Alligator mississippiensis: one gene and its partner. The protein of the gene in region 1 interacts with the protein of each later gene in a pairwise test. Links are inferred from orthologs where the notes say so. Each region holds a gene or a part of one and is shown on either strand. Other genes may lie near its edges.

What was found.
Region 2: the proteins of SF3B4 (region 1) and HNRNPUL1 interact in binary tests that used the Homo sapiens proteins (3 or more experiments, as listed by UniProt). The link is inferred for Alligator mississippiensis from reciprocal best matches to the Homo sapiens genes SF3B4 and HNRNPUL1.

What each region holds. Positions count from the first base shown.
Region 1 is NC_081838.1:18,100,214-18,107,739, reverse strand, and holds the start of SF3B4 (splicing factor 3B subunit 4), read left to right. Parts: upstream 1-3,952; 5' UTR 3,953-4,029; coding exon 4,030-4,063; intron 4,064-4,603; coding exon 4,604-4,732; intron 4,733-5,563; coding exon 5,564-6,106; intron 6,107-6,653; coding exon 6,654-6,848; intron 6,849-7,526. Other genes in the region: MTMR11 (myotubularin-related protein 11), read left to right, coding at 1-57, 317-583, 1,076-1,225. UniProt on the Homo sapiens protein: Component of the 17S U2 SnRNP complex of the spliceosome, a large ribonucleoprotein complex that removes introns from transcribed pre-mRNAs.
Region 2 is NC_081838.1:1,511,286-1,519,355, forward strand, and holds the start of HNRNPUL1 (heterogeneous nuclear ribonucleoprotein U-like protein 1), read left to right. Parts: upstream 1-4,587; 5' UTR 4,588-4,671; coding exon 4,672-4,840; intron 4,841-6,687; coding exon 6,688-6,822; intron 6,823-7,239; coding exon 7,240-7,744; intron 7,745-8,070. Other genes in the region: phosphatidylinositol 4,5-bisphosphate 3-kinase catalytic subunit alpha isoform-like, read right to left, coding at 708-3,911.

The DNA.
Region 1 (7,526 bases):
AACCCCATCTACACTAGGGCCAGTGATGGGCACATGGCCCCGCCGGGCTGCAGCAAGGTGAGTGCGGTTGCCTCTGTGTGGGGTGGGTCCGGGCACTACAGGCAGCTCTGGGTGGGGGCTGTGTGGGCAGGCAGGCAGGCTAATGGTCACAGCACAAGGGACGAGGAGCTGGACAACTTGGTCTTCCTCCTGGTTGGGATGGGGAAGGAACCCAGGAGTCTAGCCTCGAGTCCCCTCTAGCCCTGCTGTGTCTTTGCTCCCTGCTATGTCCTGTCCCCCTTCCCAAAGCCCCAGCCCACGTCCTGCCTCTCTCCAGCTGAAAGCCACCCTGTCTGAGACTGGGGCTGTGTTCCTCCTGGCCCGGGGGGGCTTGGCCCCGCAACCCCACCTCTTCCCCTGGAAGAACGGCTCACTCGTCAAGAAGGGCCCGTGGCGGGTGCCATCCTCGGACAGCCTCAACGACCAGTGGGGCTGGCCCAGCAGCTGCCCTGCCTTGCCTGGAGCGGTCCTGGTGCCTGCCTGCACGGGGTCGGCGATCCAGCTCTGGAGACGATGCTACCTCCGTGGGAGCCCCGAGCGGCAGGTGAGGGCCAGGCTGGGCTCGGGGCAGCTCGGTGGGGGCGGTGCTCTGCCACTGCCACCTCCTGTAACCTCAGTCAAGTCCCTTTGCCCCTCCTGTGTTGATTCAAACCATTGAATCTACCATTCAAACCATTTGCCCTCATTGCAACAGGGTGGTGTGGGCCAAGGGGCTGGATCTAGGGTGGAGAGGGGAATGGTGGAGAAGGAAGCTGGAAGCCTTAGTATCCAGTGGGACTCCCCACGTTCCCCTGCAGCATCTTCAGGACGGGGGCTATGTACAGCACCGAGTGTGCTACAGCAATGCTTTTCATCAGCCCCTGGGTGTAGCCCAATGAGGGATAAATCGAGCTGGTCCTTGTCAGGTGCCCAGCGAGGTGGGTCTGGGCTCCGGCTGTTCCAGCCTCTCCATGCACTAGCTGATGGCACTAAGCTAGCCAGTACCCCAGCTGCCTGCCCTGACCCCATGCCTCTGCTTCTTTTCCCCCCTGCTCAGCGCGGCCTCTTCCCTGCAATGCTCACCGACCTCACCGAGGAGCTGGAGTTGCTTCAAGAGTGTCTGAACGATGGGCACTGGAGGGCCACGTCTCCCCCCAGCCCTGCGGAGTCGGAGGAGGCAGGAAGCCCCCTTTCCCCGTCCCGCTGATGGTGACCACTGCTGGGAGAGGATGTTAGGCAGCGGCTGGACTCACATGACCGACTTCCCCGGCGTTCAGACCTGTCCACCTGCATGTTGGCAAAGAAGCCAGTGCCCACAGGCTGTTGTGTGCAGCTCATCTTGGAGACGGGCACCCGGATACTGCTGGATTTTCGGTCCCAGGCCTGGAACTTTGCCCAGCCCTTGGCATCTACTGAGGGGTCGCAGATATGTTGCCCAGTTGTCCTGGTGACTGGGCATCTCCCAGCAACATGGCAGAGGGGACCCGCATCTCCAGAACGAGCCCTAGAGATGGAGCTCTCCCCTTGGTCCCAGATCCACGGTCATCCTGGCTCTGGGGACTGTGGAGGAGCCCTGCCCTGCTGCTAGTTAGCTGTCCCTTCCCTGCGGATCGTGGGTGGGTCTGCAGCACCTTCCACCCACCTAGCCAGGCTGCTTCTGCTGGGTTTTCCCAGTTGGACCCCTCAAAGCAGGCAGTAGTGAGGAATCTTTGGGGTGGGAGGACTGGAAGACCCCTGTCTCCCCTGCCCTAGAGGCTCGGATGCATTGTAAGCTGCTGTGTACAAGGGAGTAGGTTGGGGAGAGGGGGCGTGGTATTTGCTGTAATCCTGCTACCTCCAGAAGCACTTTTGAAGTCCCTGAGGAGTTTTACTGTAATGCGCAAAAAAGCGTCCGGAAACCCTGCTCGTGCAAACAGACACACAGTTGCACCACATGGAAAGGCAAAAAATGTGGCGTGTACATGCACTCCCCCAAGTCCAGGTTGCGGCTGCTGCTTTCTTGCAGAGGGACAGCAGCCGGATCTGGGATTGTGAGACCATCTCTTGCAGACTCTCTTCCTTGAGCTCTAGGTCCCATTGCATCAGCTGCACATCAGGCTGTTGCATGGGCTGGTGTGGATCTGGGACATCCTCTCTGTCCCCCATGGCCAGGATCAGACTCGACCCTGTGTTACCACCTGTTCTCTGCGCTGACAAGCTTGATGGGGTGGTGGTGCCTTACGGCTGGGAATCTTCCTGACCCCTCTGGTGAATTGGGCCTTCTCCAAAAGCCCATCCTGTCTGGGAGCTTCACAGCCCAGCAAGGGGAATCTTCCCAGCGGGGTGGATTCAGGCCCTTGCTACTAGGATTCAGGGGATGGCCCCACATGGGGAAACTTGCTGGAGTCTTTCAGGTCCTTCCAAACTCCCTGCAGCTCCCCCACTTCAGTATATGCAGACATTGCTGATGGTAGCTCAGGGCCAGTATGTTCCTCCCTGCTTTGGGATCTCTTTCTAACCCTATAAAATCTGCAGCAGAGGAAGGGAGGGGAAGGGGGAACAACCTCACTGCTGATTAGGTGTTTCTATTGCAGGATTTTTTTTCTCAAGGCCCTGGCACAGTTATCAGTAACACATTTTGTTTAAAGCTATTTGTATTATTTTATTTTTTTAAAAATAGCTCTAGCTATAATTAGTAACCGGCAGGAGATGGGTTTCCATTGGGCTTGAAGCACTTTAGGCAGAACCAGAGACTACACATGGATGAGCTTATTCACGGTGTGTGCACATGCACGTGCTTCTCGCCATCTATTTCACTTAATAGAAAGGATCCCTTTAATTTCATGGGTTAGAAAAGGATCGGTGCAAGGATCGAACGCCTCCCCTTCTCGCAGGGCTTGAAAGCAGTGGAGTTGCAGGATGGGCAGAGGCAGTCACAGCTGAAAGTCCAATGCCGCTTTGGAAAACACTGTGCCGGTTGCCTGAAAACGATGGGGAGCCGTGCGCACTTCATCTTAAAAACTCCTTCCAGCCCCATGAGAGGCCTGGGGGGAAGAGCTGAGTGTCTCCATCGCTCCTTAAAAAGATGCCGGCCGGGGGCCTGGGCTCTCCCTTGAAGCAACTCCTTTGGTTACTTCTTAAGAAGTCTTTGGGTGGCCGCGGCGTTCGGATCCCGCGTCCCCCGCGACGCGAGGCAGGAGGTACGTCGCGATCCCACCGAAGGGCATTCTGTTTTTTCCTAGTCTGTATATTTTTGTAGTGACGTTTCTATTTAAGAGCCCAATAAACGCAGTATTTTTAAAGCTACGGGGTGCGGTGGCGTGTTTGAAGGACATGTCCCAGTTCACCCCAAAAGGTCGCGCGAGAGGCTGCAGTCTCCAGGTGCCGTTCGTGAGGGCGGGCGAAATCATCTCGACGTCCCGTGTGGTGCCAAATCCCACGAGCCTCCGATTCAAGGGTATTATCAGCCAGTTAATCATTACAAGTAGGACTAACGACTGATAACCCTAATGAACATGCTGGGTAGATATCAAAGTACTTCACTCAGCAGCCGCTATCGGCATTTCCTCTTATAGGCGGGGAAACTGAGGCACAGAGCGGCCCTGCAAGGACTCCCCCTGCAAGCCAGGGCTATACCTGGGAATTGCGCCAGGTTTGAAACCGGCTGCTCTGCCCCTGGGCAAGTCTCGTCCTTTTTCTAGGCCTCAATTTGTTCACCTGCAAAATGGGTGCTGTGCTAGTTATTGGCAGCAAGCCTAGGCCCTGTTGTTGTTATTACCAGCGTGTCCCACAAGGCGTTAACATCAGCAGCAGCTCAGACACCTTCGCAAGCCGCTTCCGCCCGGCTCCAACATGGCCGCCCCGCGCGCGGCTGCAGCTCTCGCCCGATTCCAACATGGCCGCCTTTGGCCAACATGGCCGCTGGGGAGCGCACTTCCGGCTTAGACGGGAACCGGAAGTGGTGTCGGGAGGGGACGAGGTGAAGGGTCGGAGGTCGCCTGGCGGCGGCGGCGGCGGCTCAGCGCGGAGGAGATGGCGGCCGGGCCCATCTCGGAGCGGAACCAGGGTGCGACCCCCCGGCCGGGCCGGGCCCGTCTCGTCCCTCCCTGGGCGGCGGCGGCTGCCTTGCTGGGGGCGCCCCGGGCCAGGTCCACGTGTCGGGGTTTTAAGCCCCCAGCGCGCGGGCGCTGCTGCGGGCCGGGCCGGGCCAAGGCCTCTGGCCCCAAAGGGGCAGGCAGGGGTTTCCCCCCGGCGCGGGGCGGACTGGGGGGTTTGCGTGAGGACCCTGCGACGTGCTCGTCCGTGCTGCCGGGGGGGTCGCCGTGCACTGACCCCCTTCTGGGCCCTCGGGGACACGGGCAGTGTCCGACTGGGTCCATCCAGCCCAGTTAATGCAGCGCCAGGGCGGCCCTATAAGCCGCCCCCTTCTTGAACGTGGCCTTGCTGGCCCCAAATTTCTCCGCAGCGAGGGTCTGGGGTTTGCGTCACAGAGCGAGGAAGGTTTTGCCCTCGCTGTCGTGCTCTGAGCCCCCAGGACTCGGCCCCGGTCTCTGCCCCTGTTCGAGCCCGTGACTGACGCCCCTTTCTTTCGTCTCTCCCTGTCAAGATGCCACCGTCTACGTCGGCGGCCTGGACGAGAAGGTCAGCGAGCCGCTGCTGTGGGAGCTCTTCCTCCAGGCTGGCCCCGTGGTCAACACGCACATGCCCAAAGACCGGGTCACGGGCCAGCACCAAGGTGAGAAATCTCCATCGTGGTAAAACCTGGGTTTTATATGCTGGACGCGGCAAGGGAGAGGGGAACAGGGGGGAAAACCCTGATCGGACCCAGCTCGCTCTTCCTTTCAGCGTCTGCTCTCTGCTGCCACGTGACAGGAGACGGGGCAAAGTGGGCCTGTGGCCTCACCCAGTAACTGGCAGTTCTTGTGTGGGTCAGCCCCCGCTGGTAGGGAAAGGCTTTCAAGGACCTTGTCTTCCTAGTCATCTTCCATGTTGCTGGAGCAGGGAGTAAATGGTGCATTAGAAGTGAGACCTACGGTGGTAGCGCACCCGTGCTCAGAGAACAGGGCCCTGAGCTGCCAGGCAGAAGGACGGCTCTGAGGACTGACAGGAAGGGTGGCCCAGAAAGCTTTGAGACTACATATGTATTGTGCATGTTTCAGTTCTCGTAGTGCTTTAGTGCAGCAGCGGGTGTGCCCCTCCTGTTGCACTCAAATTAGTCTGCCACAAAGGTTTCCCCCTACTGAGTTAAACTGATACAACGTATCGGAGCAGGGGGTGAGAGAACTTGGGAAGAAAAAGATCCCTGGGTTATATGGTCATATATACATGCACTGAGGTGGATCTGACTGGCAGGTGGAGCAGAGAAGGTTTCCCATCAGCAGTTGGGATCAGGGTAGGTGTGAAGGGGGCACTTCCAGATGAGCCAACAGGAGAGAGAAACGCAGAGGAAGCAGGGTTTTGCTCTGATGGGGCCAGGGGTCGTGAGGAAGCGGAGAGCAAGGGGGAGAGGGGTTCGAGTGGGTCCCAGGGGCTGCATCCCATCCCAGTGAATTGCGGTGTGTTGTAGGCTACGGCTTTGTGGAGTTCCTCAGTGAGGAGGATGCCGACTATGCCATCAAGATCATGAACATGATCAAGCTGTACGGGAAGCCCATCCGGGTGAACAAGGCCTCGGCACACAACAAGAACCTGGACGTGGGCGCCAACATCTTCATCGGCAACCTGGACCCAGAGATCGACGAGAAGCTGCTGTACGACACCTTCAGCGCCTTCGGCGTCATCCTGCAGACACCCAAGATCATGCGGGACCCCGACACGGGTAACTCCAAGGGCTATGCCTTCATCAACTTCGCCAGCTTCGACGCCTCAGACGCTGCCATCGAGGCCATGAACGGGCAGTACCTCTGCAACCGCCCCATCACCGTCTCCTACGCCTTCAAGAAGGACTCCAAGGGCGAGCGTCATGGATCAGCAGCTGAGCGCCTCCTCGCTGCCCAAAACCCTCTCTCGCAGGCTGACCGGCCCCATCAGCTGTTTGCAGACGCCCCTCCTCCGCCGTCTGTGCCCACCCCGGTTGTCACATCCCTGGGCCCCGGGGTCACACCACCAGGTGAGGGAATCTCTGTGCTGTGCCCCCCGGCAGGGGGGGCGTTGCTTAGTTGGTGGCTGGGTGCAGTCTGTCACGGGTTTTTGCTCTCTGGGTTGGTATTGAAGCAATGCCAGGGCTTTGCTGGACCACAGGGAGGAATGTGGCAAGCGTGCCCATTGCTCTGGGTTGGCACTGATTTGTTGGCCGGGGTCTTGCCTACATGTGGGGCCCGGAACACAGCTCTGGGGGCTCAGAACGCCAGCCCCTTGCTGTGCTCGGGCCAGGGGGTTTTCAAGCCTGGTTCTTGACCCCACTTAGAAAGGAACGCTGCCTGCCCCCCAGGTGGTTGGCCATGTCACCTGCTCTGAGATGAGTATCTCTTGTACTGGACCAATCAATGCAAAGCTTTCCATCCCCAAGTTGATTGGCCCATCACTGGGATGCCTTGCTCCCCTGAGCCATGCCATTGGCTCTTGCGTGGCTGGGAAAGGCGGGGCCGCAGCATGCAGGCCTGTGGGGTGATGATTTGTGCAGGGGTAGTGCTCTCACTGATCCTTTGCTCCCTCAGGCATCCCACCCCCCGGCTCGTTCCCCCCACCGGTGCCACCCCCTGGAGCCATGCCCCCAGGAATGCCTCCTGCCATGCCCCCTCCACCCATGCCACCAGGCGCTGGTGCCCCTGGCCCACCATCTGGAGCTGCACCCAGTGGAGGACACCCACCGCACCCACATCCCTTCCCACCGGGCGGGATGCATCACCCAGGTAAGGTGTTGGGAACAGGCTGGGCTAGTGGACAGAGCACTGGACTGGGCGCTAATGCCACGTAACTCAGTTTCCCTTTTCTGTAAAATGGGCACAGTGACACTGGCTTCCTGCCTGATTCACTGAGCCCTGCTCTAGACAAAATTCCCATGCAAGAGTAAGTGCTTAGTGATTTATTAACGAGGGTGTTAATAATCCTGCTCTTCAGTTAGAGGGGGGGGATGTCTGAGCAGGGAAGCCAGGGTGGAGTGGTCTGGGTCAGTGTGTCTCATCGCTGAGCCTTGATTTTTAAAATTGCCTGCATTCTTTTGGAAATGGCTGGCTTCCATCAGCTGGATGCTTCGTGGCTTGGACTGAATGTGAATGTTAGGGATTGGTCCCTGGGAGCCTGGCACTGCCCCCATCTGGCCACCTGCACTGGGATTGGGGCCTGGCCACCCCCCCCCCAGCCCCCCTCAGGTGAGATTGGGCCCTTAGTTCAGGATCTCTTGCCAGATCCCCTGACCTTGGTTTCTGGTTCAAATGGGTGCCTTGCACACAGATGGTGTTTGCACCTGCAGCTGTGGTCCTGGGGAGCTGAAGGCCTAAGGCTGAACACTGCCCTTGTCTTCCTACCCCTTTTTTATGCTCTCAGCTCCCTCCAGAGGTAGCCAGTTAAGGCCAGTTGATCTGAAAACC
Region 2 (8,070 bases), about 17 Mb from region 1:
TTTAATTAAACAATTTTAATAACTGGTCTTTAGGCTCCGAACACGCGTGAAATTGCCTGTTCAGTTCACGTTCAATTCAATCGAGCCCGAAGCGAACACCAGGATGTTTTATTTCCCCCTGTACAAATACGGCCCAGGGGAAAACCTGGTACGTATCGGGCGTATTTCACACTGCTTTCAAAAACCAAGCAGACAACAGCCCCCAGAACGAAAAGGTTCAGTTAAACCCCAAACAGGATGTGTGTGAATACAGTTAAAGGCACTGTGGTTCCCTCGCTATTATTTTTAACAGTTCTGCCCTTAAAACTCCTCTCCTTCCAGATACGCAGCATCTAAATAGCCAAGGGAAACGAGAAGTTCCCTTTCCACTCATTAGAAACGCGGTGTTGTCTCCACCTCCCGAACCAGAGCTCTTGCTGTAGCACGTCACGGACGGCCTCTGATGCTGGCACTCTTCCTCCTCCTGCCAAATGATCCTTTAATCAAAAAACCAGAAACAGGAAAAACTTCCAAACCCTTTTGTTGGGTTTAAAGCATAACATGAAGTTAAAGAGCCTACTAAACGTGTGTGAAGCCCTTTGGAAAACTGCCTCTGTTCTTGCTATAACTTCTAACGTCATTCGTGGTTTGTGTGACTCCAATCCAACAGGTGTTAGCGGCGCAGCCCTAAAAGCTGGCTATTGGTTTTGGTCCTCTTTGCTTTCACTTCAGTTCAAGGCATGTTGCTTTATCGTGTGGAAGACCCAGTCCATTTTTGTCGTCCAGCCGCCGTAGTGAGCATCGTTCATCTGTTTTGTGAAATAGTCCAGAGCTTCCTGCTCAGTTCTGTCCAAGGCGAGCGTCTTTCGAACGTAAGCAATGTCATCAAAAGACTGCAATTCCGGTATGCCCGAGCCGAGCATCATGGAGAAGAGATTGATGAAGAGATTGGCCTGCTGCCGAATTGCTAAGTAAGCTTTATAGCACATCTCTTGAAACCTTTCAAACTCCCGCGTTTTGGTACAGTCTTGGTTTCCTTTACTAATCACGAGTAAGAAATCTTGCGTGAGGACAAATGGCACGCGCTCTCGCTTGTAGCCAAATTTTTTCTTCTTGTGATCCAGGAAGTGCCCAAAATCGATGTGAAACAGCTGCCCGTCATCCTTCACCATGATGTTGCTATTGTGACGGTCACCGATGCCCAGTATGAAGGTAGCGACGCAATAGCCGGCGCAGGAGCACGTGAACAAGTCGATCGCTGCGTCGTACGCCGCTCCTTGGTTCTTGTCTTTGAGCCACTGATGTAGCGTGTGGCTGCTGAACTGCAGCGCGCCCTTTAGGCCTCCTTTGCACTGAATCTGCATGATTGTATAAGAGCTTCTGACCACCTCGATAAGGCCCACGCGGTCGCCGATAGACAAACAGCCATAAGGCAGCAGCCGAAGATCAAGACCTTCCTTTTGCCAGATGTTTTCCATAATTCGAATAATCTGAAGCGTTAGCATGTCCTGACGTAAGTCATCCCCGTTTTTAAAGATGATCTCATTGTTCTGAAACAACAGTTCAGCCATAATATCTGGGTTGTCCCAGTTTAGCCAGAGAGGCCTTCTTGCAGAGGACATAACCCTGCACTCCTCAAGCCTGAGGTTCCCTAGCCGAAGGGCAGGGTTAAGAGGAGAGATAAAATCTTGCAAAGCTTCCATGAAATCTGGTCGCCTCATGTGTTCAACGAGAAACTTCATTTGTGCCTTCGGTGCTTCATCTTTCTTCTCCTGCTTGAGAATATCAGTAAGGTGAGTTAGTTTCTCCATGGCTTCCACCTGCCTGCGCAGGTGCTTTAGGTACATCCCGCATGCGCGACAGTAGGACTCCAAAAGCAATCCAAATCTCTGCCTCACACTTGTATTGTGCATTTCAGACTTTAAATGCCAAAAGAAAAAATGTCCTATTGTTTGATTGGTCAGTGCTTTCTGGAGCAAAAATCTCCCCAGCAGATTATCTAAGTATTGCTCGTATTTCAGAACCTGTACCAGCTGGATTAAGTACTGAGACAGCTGGTCATCGGTCAAGCACTTCTCCAAACACTGAATGGCAAACGATCGCACCACAGGATCAGGATAATTACAGTCCAAAAGCTCCATTGCCTGTTCTGCCTTGATTAGGGGCCAGTCTTTTATCAGGCAATACATCTGGGCTACTTCATCTCTCGAGTTCCATTTCACGGACAAAAGCAGCTTGGGCAGAATTTCTGGGATGTTTCCACAACTATATCTGTGGCTCCAAAGAAAGTCCTTCTCTTGCTCAGTGATTTCGGAAAGCGGGTCTCTTGCGCTAAGTGCACGGAGTTGTTCTTTGTCGCTTTCTCTTACTTCAAAACCTTTAGCTAGCCTGTTAGTCAGCTCCATACGGCTGTAGTTACACCCGAGTTCCAGAGAGACAGCCCTGCTGGCATGGTCTTCAATCACCGTCATGTCTGGAAACTTGACAGGGCCGCCAAAACTATCAAACTCCAGCTCTAGACACGGAGTTTCCTTGCTTGGATTGGACCCAGTCATGCCAATAGGATTCAGCAGATCTTCCAGCCCATGTGGCACTGGCCACAGACTCAAAGCCATTTTCCCCGATACGAGAGTGTGCGTGTAATCAAACATGTTCACGTTTCCCCAAGCCAGTGGGCAATGTTCCTCTTTCGCACCCCTCCTGCCTTTGACAGAGCAGAGGGAGAGGCAAAGGCGAGCGGCACGGGGGAGATCAGGAACGTACAGGTCATACGACAGCCATTCGTTCCATCTCGGACGGCAACAAGGCACCCTTCGAGTTTTCACGTTGTCGCATAACGGTTCACCCCCGTGATAGATACCCGTTCGGACGTATATCTTGTCCACGTCTCGTGTATTTACATTGACGTACGTGGCACAGAAGATTCTTATTCTGAGACCACTGTTTATAGACCAGAGGGATTTGGCGGAAACTTCTGCATTCGTGTACGGGGTAGGCGTAGAAACACCTCTGGGACAAGACGGGATGGTAAAGCTATCCGACGGCAGCCGGGCATACAGGCTTTCTTTGGACATCAGCATCAGGTTGGGCACGAGGCCAACCATGATGCAGTTTCTGATGTGCTTATACTGGCTGAGAGGATACCTTTCTAGCAAGTATTCATCACAGCCGCACACTTTTAAAACGTACTTATCCTGGTACTTCAAGACGCGGCGTTTCAGTTGCTCAGGTGACAGCGACGCGCTTCGTGTTTGCGCCCTGACTGCTTCGGCGATCGCGTGCTCGGGCACGCAGTCATGGCTGATTTTTACGGGGTATTTCTGCTTGTTATTCAGGGAGGCTACGACCCATACGGCCACTACCATTTGCCCTTCGTCTAGCTTGTCGTACAGGGGCCGGGGCAGCTCAGGCGACGCGTGGACGCGGGGAGGCCAAGCGTACAAAGCCCGGCTGCGAGGCGCGTCGGCCCCTCGCCGCTCGGCGGCCTCCCGGCAGACGTTCAGGACGTTCCTGCGGAAGTCCCGCACTTCCGGGTCCCTCGACGCCTCCAGCTCGCGGACGGGCGTGCCGACGGCCAGCCCGATCTCCCGGTTCAGCATCTTCTCGTCCCGGTCGCCGGCGGGTTCGACCACTTGGAGAAAGGGCCGAAAGAGCCGCAGGTCGCAGAGCCGCCGCGCCTCGTCGAAAAACTCTTCCCGGGCGGCGTCCTGCGTGACGCCCACGAAGACGTAGCAGGCGGCGTCGCGGAGGAGGTGGGGAAGCGGGTATTTCCGGGCCTCGCGGAAGAGCCGGCGCTTCACGGACAGCAGCGAGGCCTCGCGGGGGCTCTCCAGGGGCACCAGCATCCCGTTGGGAAGGAGGCACTCGAGGAGGACGGTGGGCGGCATCGTGCGGGCGCCCCACCAGTCCCCGCAGGAGGGCACGGGCAACATGGCCGCCCTCTGGCAACCACCTCAGGACTGGGGCCGCGTGCCCTCGTCGCCCACAATGGCGCCCATGGCTCTCAGCCAAGGAGAGTGCGGCTGACAACGTGTCAGCAGGGCTGCACCAATAGGGAGCAGGCTAACACCCCGCCTCAGCCCTGGTTGCCAGGGCTCCGCCAATGGGAAAGGGGCAAGGAAAAAAAAAAACAACTTTAACTCGTGCAGGGCTCGGCCAATGGGAGGCACCCAAACAGCCAATAGGAGGCGTGTTAGCACGCTGGCCCCACCCACCAGGCGCCTCGCCGCAGCTCAGCCAATTGGAGGCGTGCTAACACTGGCCCCGCCCACCCCAGGCGCCTCCGCGCCCTCCAGCGCAGCAGAAGAGCGACGCCTGCTGCGATTGGTCCGCTGCCAGCCTCTTTCGCTGTCAATCCCGCCCCGCCGCTTCCCCCCAAGCGTCACCCGGGTTCCAGCCAACCGCCGGGCCCGTAACAACCCCGCGGCCGCCCCGGCCCAATGGGGCACCCCGTGACAAACCGAGAGCGAGCGGGAGAACCGCGGGCGGCGGCCGGGAGCCAATGGCGAGCCGCGTGACATGGCGGGCCGGCGCGCGGAGCCAATGGCGGCGCGCGTTGCAAGGCGGCCCGGCGCGGGGAGGGAGGAGGAGGGCGAGGGCGGCCATTTTGAGCCGGGGCCGCGGCGGGGGCTCCATGGCCGGGCGGCGCGCGGAGTGACGGGCCGGGCCAGGCCGGGCCGCGGGGCCGGGGCCATGGACGTGCGGCGGCTGCGCGTCAACGAGCTGAAGGAGGAGCTGGGCCGCCGCGGCCTGGACACGCGCGGCCTCAAGGCGGAGCTTGCCGAACGGCTGCAGGCGGCGCTGGAGGCCGAGGAGGCGCGACGCGGGCCCGGCGGCGGCGACCCCGCGCCCGACGGACACTGTAAGGGGGCAAGAGCCGCTCCGCCACTGGCCCCGCTGCACCTCCGTGGTGGGACCGGGGCCCGCGGTGCAGCTCCGCCATTGGCCCCCTGGTGCAGCTCCGTGCTGGGGACCGGGCCCCCTGGTGCAGCTCCGTCATTGGCCCCCTGGTGCAGCTCCGCGCTGGGGACCGGGCCTCCTGGTGCAGCTCCGCGCTGGGGACCGGGCCCCCTGGTGCAGCTCCGTCATTGGCCCCCTGGTGCAGCTCCGCGCTGGGGACCGGGCCCCCTGGTGTAGCTCCGTCATTGGCCCCCTGGTGCAGCTCCGCGCTGGGGACTGGGCCCCCTGGTGCAGCTCCGTCATTGGCCCCCTGGTGCAGCTCCGCGCTGAGGACTGGGTCTCCTGGTGCAGCTCCACTATTGGCCCCTGGTGCATCTCCGTGGTGGGACAGGCCCCCTGGTGCAGCTCCACCATTGGTCTCCTGGTGCATCTCCCCTGGTGGGGGGAGCTCCCCAGCGCTGCTGTGCTGTGCCCCCCGCCCTGCTGCACCTCCAGCAACAAGCTCTGACTTGCAAGTCTGTGGTGGGGGCCAGGTACCCCAAAAGGGTCACCCGCGCTCTCTTCCTGTGGGCCTTGGCCACCGGGCCCCCAGGCTGCCCTGCGGGACAGGAGCCGGGGCAGCCCACGGCATCGCGGCTCTGCTCCGTCACCCTGCTGCAGAGGGCCGGCCCGGCGGACCTGCCCGGGCATGCGGTGGGGATTGTCCTGCTCACGTTCTGTCTGCCTCCCCCATCCCGTAGCGGAGCTGCCTCCCGGCCGAGCTGGTTTTGTGCCGTGGGAGTGCTGAACCCACTCAAGACCCTGGGAGCCAGGACTTTTTTGGGGGCCCCCCCAGCCTTAGCTGCAGCAGTGGTGGGACGCGACACGCTGCCTGCCTGCACAGAGGAGCGCACGCCGGCCTCAGGGGCCTTGGCAATAGGGGCTCGCCGGCTGCATGGCTCGTTTCCATACGGAGCCGTGCGGCTCCGGGAGGGGAACGCCAGGGCAGGTCCTCCGGAGATGAGCCCGGGGGTGCTGAGGTGCCCCGTTTGTGTCCTGTGCTGGTCTCCAGGCACCTTTGGGGCGCCTCAGCTCGCGGGTGTGCCCTCCGGGCTTTGTGGAGGAGGTGGCGGCGTGAGGCAGAAAGTTCCCCGGGGCGATGGATCCGACGGCTCTGCTTGAAAGTCGGGTGCCTGCCCAGAGTCCGGCGGGGGGGCTGCATGTGGCCCCCCGGTGCAGCTCCGCGCTGGGGACCGGGCTCCCCGGCACAGCTCAGCTGTTGCTCCTGTCTCGAGCCGGGCTGGTTGTGCTGGGAGGTCTGTGCGCTGGCAGCCCCTCGAGGCCAGCGTTGGTGTGTGTCCCGCGTCTCCGTCCCCTTTTCCTGCCGTGGGGAGCCGATCACCCCCTGGCTGCTTTGGTGACATTGTGTCTCTGCGCCGCCCCCCCCACCCCGGCACCTCCCTCCCGGCGGATCCCTGGTATCGGGGGGCCTACACCCCTCACTGCTGCCTTGCTGGATGCTTTGCTTTGCTTGCAGGTTTTTTGGGTCTGGTGGGTTTTGGCCACACCAGCTGGGGGAGCAGGCAGGCAGCTGGATCCTGCCTCTGCTGGGTTTCCCCTGGCTCCCAGCCCTGATGAGCATCACTCCCAAACTTCCCTGCCCGGAAACACCCCCAGGGACCTCGGTGATGCCTGGCCGGTCCCTTGTCCTGCCAACCGCACCGCGCTCTGTGCTGGAGCCTCCAGTGCAGCTCCACGCACCCCGCCCCAGTGAGCGGGACCCACAGCTCCCTACCGGTTCCCGTCTTAAGCCACGTCTCTGTTGCGCAGACGACATCGACAGCAACACTCACCAGAGCGACCACCAGGGCTACCAGTCCTTTGAGCATGGCGCCGTCAGGCAGGAGAATGAGTCCAGCTACGAGCGGCGGCCAACAGAGACGGAGCATCCTGGCCTGCACCCAGGTAGGGACCAGCCCGCCAAGGGGCCTTTGTTGGCGGGAATTGGTGGGGCGGGGGGTCCCACAGGTGCCTGGCCCCTGCCCCTGGGAGTCTCCTTGGCCATGGGGAGATGTGGGCTGGGTCCTGCCTGGCAGCTGCCCCATGGTTCCCTGCCCCCAACTTGGCACCTTTGAGAAGCCTCCACTTAGGGCTTTCGAGTGTTGGGTTCTCCAGTATCCCTTGAACTCAGCACCAGCCCTGCCTGGCCCTTGTTCCCTGAGCTTGCCCTGCCCACCCCCCTGCAGCAGTTTGGAGAGACCCCCCCCCACCCCCCTGTCACCCTCAAAGACCTCACTGAGTGTCTGAGGCTGTCGAGGCATCGCTGTCAGGCTGCACCCAGCCTCTCCAGCCCCCTGACGCCGCCTGTTTTTCTGTGCACAGAGATGAAGTCGGAAGTCAAGCAGGAAGACCCCACCCCCGGCTACAACCTGCCTCCCCCCAGCTACAACGCCTCAGCCCCCAGCTACAACATACCACCCCCCGGTTACAACCCACCCCCTTCTGGCTACAGCATGCCCCCCTCTGGCTACAGTGCCCCTGCCCCTGCCTACAGCGTGCCCCCAGCTGGCTACACTGCACCTGCTCCTGGCTACGGCGTACCCCCACCAGGCTTCAGCGCCCCTGCTCCTGGCTACAGCGCCCCTCCTTCTGGCTTCAGCGCCCCACCGGCCAACTACAGTGCACCTGCCCCTGGCTACAGCGCGCCCCCAGCGAGTTACAGCACCCCTGTACCAGCCTTCAACGCGCCTCCCACCAGCTACAGCACGCCTGATGCCTCCCAACCCAGGCCACCCCAGCAGCAGCCACCACCACAGCCACAGGGCCGTAAGCGGCCATACGAGGAGCCGCGAGGCAGGGGCTACTATGAGCACCGGGAAGACAAGAGGTGAGGGGGGTCGCGGGCTCTCAGCCCGGTCCAGGGGTTCCTGCACTGGGGAAGCTGGGGAATGTGTACCCACCCCCCAGCTTGATTCCAGCTCCAGTTGCCACTCACTCCATGCCTCAGTTTCTCACCTGTCTGCAGTGCTACCAGCCTCTGTGCAGTGCCAGGGCATCAGCTGGCATGACACCAGGTGCTGCCAACAGCCTGGCCTCAGCTCTCATCGGAGCCGTTTCCCCCCCCACACCCCCTGACCTGGGGACATTCCCATGTTTGCAAATGCTGTCTTTCCAGCTGGCTGGGGCTAGCGCACGCCTCTAATATGTGTGAGC